Drosophila melanogaster: one gene and its partner. The protein of the gene in region 1 interacts with the protein of each later gene in a pairwise test. Each region holds a gene or a part of one and is shown on either strand. Other genes may lie near its edges.

Region 1 (5,715 bases):
CATACACATAAATCGCCTGCGAAGTGACCCTTGGCAATGGCGAAGGTAATTGCGTACTTACCGCTCTCAGCGGAACCTGAACCTAACCAAAACCAAGCGAACCGTAAGGTGGATTCGTATTCCCTCGATTGCGTGCCCGTTTCGGGAATAGATTTATCGTCTCGTTTGAAATCCGCACTTTATTTATGGTAGCTTGGCCACATTTCTTTGCGGATCTCCCACTCCAATACTTATTATTTATTATTCTATCAAACGTTACGTTACACTGTCAGCACCAGCACAATTCACTACGCGCACTTCGAGGCGATTACGAGATTTCGAGGCGATCAAGATCCGAGAGCGCTGGTCGAGAGGCACTACCGTACGGGGCGAACTCAAGAAAGAATCTGCAGCGGTGCAGTTGCTCTGAAGATTTCGGAGAAGACCTTCTTCGTATCGGACAACGTGCAACTTGTTGCACGCAACATGTTGGTCTGAGACGACTGCTAATACAAAATGTTCAAATACCTTACTTGATATTTTATTTATATATTAAGTAAACCTACTTTAAATAGGTTTAACATAACTTAACTTTAAGAAGTTTTTTATAGAGCAGAAAACTTTCTTTAATATCTTATGAAAAATAATATCTTCACAAAGTCATACGATCTCGAAGAAAACCGTTTCAGATTTGGCCTTTTATTAAAAACCACTAAGCTACATTTTGGCAGACAATAGTCAGATGACTTAAACTATACAGATTCATTAACACCAATGGATTCTATGTTGACCTGAACGACTAAAACAGCCTTGACCTACAAAACTTTTCCGACCTATCAACTAAGCTTATTAAACATGTAAATATGTTGTTCTATTCCTCGGGACGAGTCTCGCTGTAGAAGCCCAGATTCATTGTGGGAATCATGTTGCTGTAGAACGACAGTTCCGCTGCCGAGGGACGCACTAGCTGGGGATCCTGAACTAGCGGAGCCGTCATAGCCACTGGAGCCTTTTCGGCCATTTTTAGGGGTAAAATAGCAGCCTCTTGAGCCCGCTGGGCCATCTTGTGCTGCAACTGATGGACTTTGAGGTGATTCTCCAGCTCAATTTGATGCAGGAAGCTAATGCAACAGATTCCGCACGTAAAGCTGGGACCATGAGCCTCTAGCTCATGGCGCTGCAGTTGCTCGCGTCGGTTGAAACCTTGATTACATGTCTTGCAGGCGAACAGCGAGTCCATGTGAAGAGCTTGATGGCGTTGCAGGTCCCTCTCCCGTTGGAAAGTTCGATCGCAGACATCACAGTGGTAATAGCGTGAGTTTTTGGTTTGTGCGGCAGCCTTTTGTTTAGCCTGCAACGCCTGCTGCTGCAGATCACCCTCCATCGGGGGAATTAGACCCATTTGCTGCTGCTGCTCCATGTCCCGCCTGGTATGGACTTGCTGGTGGGCTATTAGCTTATCCCTGCGCGAAAACGAGTAGGGACAGCGTCCACATTGGAAAGCCTTTACCTCTCCGTGCGAACGTGTGTGGCGCATCATTTCCACAGCCGTCTGGAAGGATCGCGGACACTGCTGGCAAACAAAGGGCTTGACACCGCTATGAATGCGCATGTGCTTGGTCAGATTTGTATTCCGCGAGAAACTCTTGGAGCAAACGTTGCATGTGAAGGGCCTCACGCCAGTGTGCACGATTGTGTGCTTTTTAAGATCGGAGCGGCGCACAAAACCCTTCCGACAGTGAGCACACACATACGGACGGTCCGGATCATGCAGTGTCTTTATGTGCGAAATCAAAGCAGGCCGGGTAACCAGCTTGATGTTGCAAAAGTTGCAGCAGTACGGTGCGTTGGGATCGTGTGCAGCCAGCTCGTGCTCTTGACACTCGGCGGGCAGAGTGAACCCAAGATCACAGTATTGACAGAGGAACGCTCGTTTTGGCCGTGCCTCCGTGGTGTTGGCGTTGTTGGCAACGGACTGTTGAGCCGCCATCTGGGCCGCATCCATGCCCAGTGGCATGTCGACGTCTTCGCCGTTCTGGCCATCTTCCTCGTCCTCCTCATCGTAGTCTTCCTCCTCCTCCTCATCATCGTCGTCATAGTTTTCGTACTCCCCATCGGAGCCGAGTGCGAATTCCTCTTCACTGCTCTCTGCCAGATTCTCTGGATCAACTTCCACAATAATGCAGCCCTCCTCGGGTACGAATACTCCGGGGTTGCCATTCAGGCCTGGACGGTGCTTCGGATGATCTTTAATCATCTCCTTCAGCTGCTCCTGCAGGGACTGTTCCCGCTCCTGCATTCCTTTTCGCAGCTCGAATGCCTCTTCGAGGATCTCCAGACACCTTGAGCAAATGAGCTCCGACAAACATTCGTTGCGATCGTACTGTAGGTGGAGAAGTTATTCATGCACTTTTTCCATGGATTATAAATGGCCCACTCACCTGAACGCTCCAGAGACTCTTGGAAACCTCTGCAATGGACACATCCTTGCAAAACTGCACGGTGTCATCGAAAATGTTTAGCGAGTTGGGATCCGTATTATGGTGGCACAGGCGACAAGTGCTCACATCCTGATCCTGGGTCATGCTGATATCCGATGTATGCATTCTTCAATCATATGCATTTAAGCCGGGATTGCAATAAATTATCCAATTGTTTAAGCAAACAAAAGCCACACCGGTAGCAAATAAAACGCGTTGGTCAATGGCCAATCTACCACGATAGTATCGATATGTCGCGAAATTAAACAACATGGTCCAATCGATTGTCGGAGGAAATCGATAAGCCGCTGCACAGTGGGTTACTTAATTGAATTATAGGAATTTTTGAATATTTGAAGTTTTTAAATTAAACAATTTTGTGTTTTATTAAAGTTCAGATTTGTACCTTTCCATTTTAAAATACTTTTACTAAAATTGTAACAAAGCCATATCTAATACGCAAAATAAACGTCAGCATCTTTGGTAGCAAAAACGAAACTACTTATGTGTAATTCTTTGGGGTTGAAGTTTGATGATGCTCAAATTCAATAAAACGCAGTTTCTTTCTACACATTAAAAATTTGTAAAGCTGTTTGCATAAAATATAAATTATAAGACTTATAAGGCTCGTGTCACACTTTTAAATCAGAAATGCACTTACGATTAAAGCAGTGGGCGGCAGGTACCTAATTGATGCGTACCTATGTAGGTACACGCCGTGAACACGCGAAGCGAGAGCTTTTTCAATTGCCCGCGGACTCTTGATTAAAGCGGAGGTATTTTTCGAGTGCCGGCACTCTTTCGGCGAAAGCGGATGATTGTTTAAAAATCTGTGCGTACGCGCGTATATTCCTTTAACTAATCGGGATTGATTGCTTGCGCGGTTATTGCTTAATTGCAGTGAGATTTTTGGTTCTATTGAAAGTGGCTAATGTTCGTTTAGTGGAATTTATTGCACTGCAGATGCTGCAAATTATACTAGAACACACACACACACATCGGCAAAACAACTGTTACGCCTACGCAGCAGCGGCAACAACAACAACAACAACAGCAGCAAGGGAATTAGCAGCAACAATTTTCCACCCATAGAGGGAAATAACTGTTCCGTGAGTTTATACAATTTGGGCTGTATTTGTTGTTTTCCACCCACGTACTTTTTGTCTTTATTATGCTCCTGCCGCTTCTCCTTCTTTCGCTCCTTTTCCCTACCCACCTCCCCTCTTCCACTTCTTTTCTCTCCCATGCGGTTAGTGTGTTATTCCCGTCCTTAAGGAATAAAAGCAACAGCAACCCCGTGTACATTTATTGTTCTCTCCCCCGATGCACGGAGAGAAATTTGATTTTGATGTGTAATCAGGTTCAATTTTATTATTTAGATTATATGCATAAAATGATGAACTGATTGGACCACATTGCTAAAGGAAACACAGGGTTTTTTTTTTACAATTTTGAATCAACTACTCCAAAAACATAAACACCGTATGAATGATGATCGCAAATTTCAATGGAATAGTTTTTTTTTTCTGTGTACCTATCATCCTGTTAACCCAAGCTTTGCCCTCGCACCCTGTAGTTCTCATGAGTGTTAAATTTTCTGCCACCAAGTCCCTGTTAATTTTTGGTTATTGGGATTCCTCACTTTTCACAGTTGCCGTTGCGCGTATGAAAATGAATTTGTGCATTTATAATTCATAAATAGGACTATAAAAAAGAGAATTTATAATTTCATGAATTTACCGAAATTGGGGTCTTTAAAATGCGTCTATTAGCCTATTTAGGTAGTGATTTGTAGTGAGTTAGTAGTGAGTAGAACGAAAGCACTCTAGCGTATGCACTATCTGCCCTAAAAAGTTTGAACATAAAGATAAAATATAATTGCTTAAGTGAAATAAGCGCAAAGATTGCATTCGAGCTTAATGGTCTGATTAAAGTCCCTAGAAGCAAATCTATATGATATCACCACACCGAATTAGTAAATATCCTTACCCTACGAGACTTCTGCTAACTTAATATTTACACTTGCATACAATTACCCCTAAACATAGGGAACATGCCATTTGCCGGCCACATGAGAGTGACTTCCAATTTTGTGTACAATGAAAAACAACTGAAGATTGCTGTCCTAAACATTCCACTCGGCAATTAAGTGCTCGGCAATGATCATTCGATGAGGAAAGTCCAATCAGCAGATCAAATGAATCGGTGCCGTGACTCAAGCTAGGTCTAGTTCTACAGCTTAGAATCACTCTCCCCGTTGACTTTGAACTTGACTTGAAACGCTGACGTTAAATTGACCTGAACGGCAATTGGTGGCTGTGGGGGAGGTCCAGACCTCATGTCCGGACTTAAGTTAATTTCCGCGGCCGCGTCACATGCGTAGCAACTGTGTAACAAAACCATGCCCATAGTTTCCCAGCGTGAAATCATGCCACAATCTTATCAGTAGCCTAAAGCTTATGCTGCCTGAATGAATCGATGTTCCGCTGTCGCACACCGAACGCTTCGCTGAGATTGTCGTGCGTCGAACTGATACTGATAATGGGTGTCAAACCATTTACCCCCTTCGCAATATTAAAAGCAGGCGATGACGGTGGACATTGTAAACAAAAAGTCAAACATGTGCAGTAGATAAATTGATTTTAGCACACTGTCAGAAATGTAAATTTAAAACTTAACCCGTATGAGTACAAAGTGTTTTTCTAAAATTTCTTCATTTGCAATCCAGTAACTTGTAGGCTGTAAAACCATGTCGGTAATTTTCTTGTCATTCAACCCTCTAGAATAATCACAGTAAAATCAATTCCACAAATGGAGCTGAATATTTCTCTTACAATAAATGTAGTTTCCCATATCATTGTTTATTTTTCGTTGTGTACCAAGAACCCAGTAAGCGCAGGGGTATAAACTACGATAAATACGTGGAAATATTATCGCAAAGCTCTTGTTTTCTGCAGAACTAATAACATAAGCCATTTATGACCAATTACTGAGCCGCAATATCGAAAATCTAATATTGCCGTGCAAATTAAGTACAAAGTTGGAAATTATAATATGCTTTCGGAGGAACATGTGACATTCACAAGCGTTACACAAAAAATCAATGAAAATCCAAGGAAAATGGCATAACCATTAGATCTCAGCGCTTGTAAAATCCCAAATAAGAAGACTTTACTCGTTGAGTTTTTGTAAGAAACTGATTTTATTTGGAAATATCTTCGGTTTAAATAGGTGACATGAGAATCGCATCTTAAAG
Region 2 (5,374 bases), on another chromosome or scaffold:
TTGAGAGTAGAGCAGGACCACAATTTACTGATGGAATTTTTACACAAGTTATTTATTTTGTTTCTATTGCTGGCCGCTTCATTCATGACGACTTCATTTACTTGACGAATGTGCCCGTGCAGGACGAAGGATCCACGCTGCTGGCTTTATTAATATTTATAAGTTGGACTCTCTAGCAGGAGCTTAGCCAAAGCCGCAATAATTCCCCCGACCACGCAATCAAAATCAACCCTCTTGGAAATTCCGATGGCTGGCTGGAGACAGCCACTTGGTTCGCTTAACATTTTCAATTTCAATCTAATCTAAATTACATGATATGCGCACAATTTGAACGCTAATGAGCAAGGAATTTGTGGTAAGATGGTGGCGGAGCAACGCTGCGTATGCGCAACATATTGCGTGTGAATTTTAATTAAAAACTTTTCTCACTTTCCAACCGAGATAATCTCTGTCCCACCGCCTTTTCCTCGAAATCTCCCACTGCGAATCGGATGTCCTTTCGTGTTGGCTGCTGTTGTTGCTGTTGCTTCGATTGCATCGATTTTCTGCTAACTTTGAACGGTATTTGAAAGGAGCTTAAGCTTGTTTCTTTTATTTGCGCTACCTTCGCGCGAAACCCGATTCCATGGGCAGCAAACAGGACCAGGTTGGCTAACAAATTCTTGGAGCTATTCAGCGGTTAGCGGTTGGGGTAAACAACTTCTATAATCACTGTAATGCGATCAAGCATAAAGATGGCTCTAGCTGACCGTTTATTTAGATGGGTAAACGGGTAATCCTATTTTTAGCCATGTTTATTAGACGAGAACAGCTTCTTTCACTAATGCGATTTAAAGAAAGCCTAATTTTTTAAAATAACTATACTTAATTAGTTGCAATCTCTTTCACATTTACATCACCCCTGCTAAGTAGAGGGTATGTGGTAGTCGAAGAACTCGTCTATAGCGCCCTCCCTGATTGTTGTAAAGTTGTAATAATAGTAATAAGTTAAAATATGTTGGTAGAGGATTTCAATGAGGTATTTTATTTCAATAAAATTCCGCTTAGAACATTCACCATTCGTTGCATTCCGTTCGCCCTCTAACCTGTTAACTTGGTTTTAATTTACACTTAATTACGTGCATTGCCGTGGCAAAAGTGCAACAGATTGCTTCGTGGATTGCTTCATTAATTGTCCTCTGTTGTGGCAACTACCATCCTGCCGCATCTCCCCTCTAATAACACATTACCAAGCTGCTGGTCCTGCTATTTAATGGCCTCACATGTGTCGGGAGATAGGGACAAAAATTAACCTTTGACCTGAATGTGTACGGTATCGCGTCACTTGGCTGTGCAAACAAATTGTTTCACGTCAAAAAGTTCCATTATTCGATTATGAGCCGGTCGAATAATACATTAGTAATGCAATTAATTAGTATATAAAGAATTCCGTATTCACACCGCCATCGGCACCAAATGATTAACTTCCATGGCAATTGTTTTGCTTAGGGCCCAACCACTTGCTTGATTCCCTTCCCATAACTGCTCTTTTCTGGCCAAGAGCACCTGCCCGCTCTTTGGAATTCCCAGTTGCTTTCTCTTCGTTTGCCCACGCAGCCGCATCAAGCTATTCCGAAAATAAAGCAGCCGACTTGTGGACGTTGCGTATACGCAGTGTTGTCGCCGCCGTTCGTTTGGAACCACTGTTCAGTCGCTAGCTGGACGTGATGTTGGCCGGAAGAGCAGCACGGCAAACAAATAAAGACTTAGCCAAAACAGCTGAACAATAGCTGAGCTGAACTGAACTCCAGGCCGTAACAAGTGTGGCAGTAGTTAGGTGTTCGTGCCGCTGAAACAACAAGTATCCAGCACAGTACTTTCTATTTCGGTTAGTCGGTCGGTCGGTTGGTCGTTTGGTCGGTTTGTCCGAGTGTGTGCGTGTTGGCCACCTAAGTCCTGGTGCGTGCGTGTGTGTGCGCGCTAACTGTGTTTTTGGATGCAAATCAAAGCGCAGCTCACCTGAAAAGTATGCTTTAAATTTTTACTATCGCCACTCCGCGTGTGTACTTGTAACTCTGAAAAGTTTCTGTTTCTGTGTTTATTTGACTACCGCGGCGCATTTACATAAGTAAACTTTGGCATGCGCGCGGCCTGCTGCCGCTGATGTAGATGTAACGACGTCGACGTTGGCACTGAATAATTAATGCAATCAAGCAATTTGAACCCGTTCCGCCGTGGAGTGTGCCTGGGCCAGTGCCACAACGGTTTCAACGTGACCATAATGAGAGCTCCCCAAGCTACAAGTCACTAAGTGTGCCCGAAAAGCCCAATAACACAAAGAGATAACCTGACCAAAATTCGCAACAAAAAAAAAAAAAAAATACAACACACAAGAAGCCTGAGGAACAAGGAGGGAATACACTATATTTTTCGACAGAACTATAGCTATACTATACCATATTAACAAGAGAGAGTCTACTATATATGTACTTACTTAGTGCTAACTGACCACGCATATTCCAATCATAAATTATCGTGATAAAAATTCTTAGGCGCTGAAAGCCAATTTCAATTTTCACCCAAAAACGATAGAAGAAGAAAAGCCCCTGAAAGAGAAGAGAGAGAGAGAGAGGGATATACGCTGTCTGCAGACCAACAAATTACTAATAATAATTTTTAGATTTAAACGACAACAAAAACGAGACTAACAAACATCTGCTGGCCACACAAGGAACGTATACAAATAAATGCGGGTATATAGCAAAATGTAGACAGCTTGGCAAATATATTTCGATTAAAATATATACCAAATTGAACTGGACAGAGCTTTGACACGAAAACCAAATCGTTTGCCAAGTGAATTTTATGAAATTCGCCTGATTATTGCGGCAACAATAGAGATAAGATTCGGAATCAGAGGAAAAGCGTTTAAGTGAATGGGAAAAAGCAGCCAACAGGTTGTCGACGACAGATAAGGCCAACATTTTCTCGAAATTGGTAAGTTGAAATCACAGCAGTGTAGAACGAATGAAAAATAATGAATGTGGCACTTCATTTCTACCACTTGGAAGGATAGTCTGATTTAGAAGTTTATTAAATGGTATGCTAAGTTTTGTCAATGATTTTATTTTGCTAAGAGCTTTGCCATCAACTAATAAAGGAGATTAAGCTTTGAAAACTTGATTGAAAATGAATTTGGGTTTCTGTGGAAGCTTAAGTTTTGCCAAAGTGAAAGAAACTACTGCAAGTTTTGAATAAACTAAATAATTTCTTTAGCAAAGTTAAAGTTTGACAAAAATCATTACAAACTAAAATGGTCATTTGGCTACTTTTAAAGCAATTTTCTTAATTGCATATATTTCGTGTTGGCAGAGTGCATTTAAAATTCTTTTTAAGTTTACTCACCTCACAATTCCCAAATCTGTATCCATTAATTAAGTGCAACTACTTACAGCTGAGAAATGTGATTAAAAGAATGCTATGCAGTTAAGAAATTAAAGTGTCATTGGTGACTTTCTTCACTCCTGCAAGTTCGTCGCTTTTTGCAAAGGTCCTGCGCACGGCTGCCCAATTCCTCCATCCATTATCCACGTAATCCCACTCGTCACGAGATTCCATCCGTCAAATCCCATTCCCGCCCAGCAGCAACATGTAAATGCTCCTGTAGTTCCGGAACATATGTGTACGAAATGAAAAGATCCCAAGGAGTAAACTGTAAACTGTAAAAATACTGACCATGTCGCAAAGTGCCATAAACAATTTTACAACATTTTTGCTGTCATAAGATTAAATGTGCATAAGCTGGAGGAGGGGCAAGGACAAGAAGAGCGCACTCCTCCGCAGGAGGATGAAAAAAAAAATGGAAAGTGCTAGGGAAAAAAAGGAGAAAGCTGTAGGAAAAGCTGGGCAATAGAGCACTGCGATGGGCGAAAGCGAAACAAAAGCAATAACTATAAAACAAACACGACAATTCGCTTCAACTTTGGGGCTACAAAAAATGGCTGAACACACACAGACAGAGGCAAACCGACTTTATGTGAAGAAAGAAAACAACGCTGAAGAACAACGGAGACTCACAGATACGAATACACTGGGTGAAAACTGAATGATTTAAATTACACAATAAAAGTATTGATTTAAGAGTGCTGGGCTCCGGTACACTGCAAGATAGGTTAGACAATGTAAACTTTAAAATATTTAAGATTTGGAAACTCCTTGGGGTTTAAAGGAATATTATATGGAGAGTATTTATGTTTTTCTCTGTAATATGTCTTGCATCGCTTTGGATTTTCTCACTTGAAGGACCCCACTTCGATTCCAGCACTTTTACTCGCGGTGTACACATACACAAGCCCATGTGCATTCATTCTGAGCTCCTTTTTTATGGCCGCTGGCGGTGGGTGTTCGTTGGTATGGTTTTGTTGAGGGTCGACTGGGCTATAAAGGTATGCAGCAGGCAGCAGACGACAGCATCCAATTACAAAGTGAATATTTCGAGACTTGTTGGTTTGACTCCCGCCTTTACGCTCGGGCAGCATATCTCGGTTTCCTTCCATGTTGACCTTAACATTTATTTCATCTGCTCTCTTCTCGGCTTTGTGTGGCAGCCTTAAAGTGACTTTCAAGTTTTTGGTACCGCCGTTACTGTCGCTGACCTGATTCTGATTTCTTCTTTAGTTGCACGAAAACGAGACCACCGAAAACACCGGGTCCATTCCCAAATGAAAACATTTTACGGGGAAGCCCCCACGGAGAGTGGTGTTAGTAGGAGGTCCTTGGGGGGAATAATGAGGTACGCGACCGTGCCCACTTGAGCACGTTCTACATGAACTGCTGGCCCAGCCGGCAATGGTGATGATGGCATGCTAATAACGTCCAACGACCACCTTCCTGAATGGCCAAAATACAAAAAATAAAAAAAGAAAACAAAAACGCTAAAAAACTGAGAAAACGACCAACATGTTTCGCCACGCTTTCGCATTTATACATGGCCTGTCATTTTAACATTATCCGCGCGAAAACCCCCCGATAGCTATCGGTGCGGTCCTGCTGCTATTTGACTCCGGGACTTTCCCCAAAATTTCGAGGGCCAACAAGTGTCCGCTTCAATGTTTGGGCAGCTGTGTGAAATTTAATTAGATTTACGACGGCTTTGTCCATCAAACACTGCCCGCTCACCCGTGGCGTATACGCAATGTCGCCATGCTGGGAGGTGGAGCACACACACAGGAAGCAATCACCTGCTGACCAACAAAGAGCACATTGTCCCCTCCTTTTGTGCCATGATTTTTGGACACTTTGTATGCCACGCGACATGTGTCAGGTGGGTTTAGTTCCAGCTTGGCTTTTGGTTCATTTCAAAAAAAAAAAAAAGTAGGAAGGAAGGATGGAGAAT

The links. The genes of interacting proteins can lie anywhere in the genome.
Region 2: the proteins of prg (region 1) and Stacl interact in a two-hybrid assay, tested with the Drosophila melanogaster proteins (one large-scale study listed by BioGRID).

What each region holds. Positions count from the first base shown.
Region 1 is NT_033779.5:8,461,480-8,467,194, reverse strand, and holds prg (piragua), read right to left. Parts: upstream 2,708-5,715; 5' UTR 2,586-2,707; coding exon 2,421-2,585; intron 2,363-2,420; coding exon 851-2,362; 3' UTR 501-850; downstream 1-500. UniProt on the Drosophila melanogaster protein: May be involved in transcriptional regulation. The function of this protein is unclear.
Region 2 is NT_033778.4:15,399,408-15,404,781, forward strand, and holds the start of Stacl (Stac-like), read left to right. Parts: upstream 1-1,688; 5' UTR 1,689-2,976; intron 2,977-5,288; exon of another isoform or gene 5,289-5,374.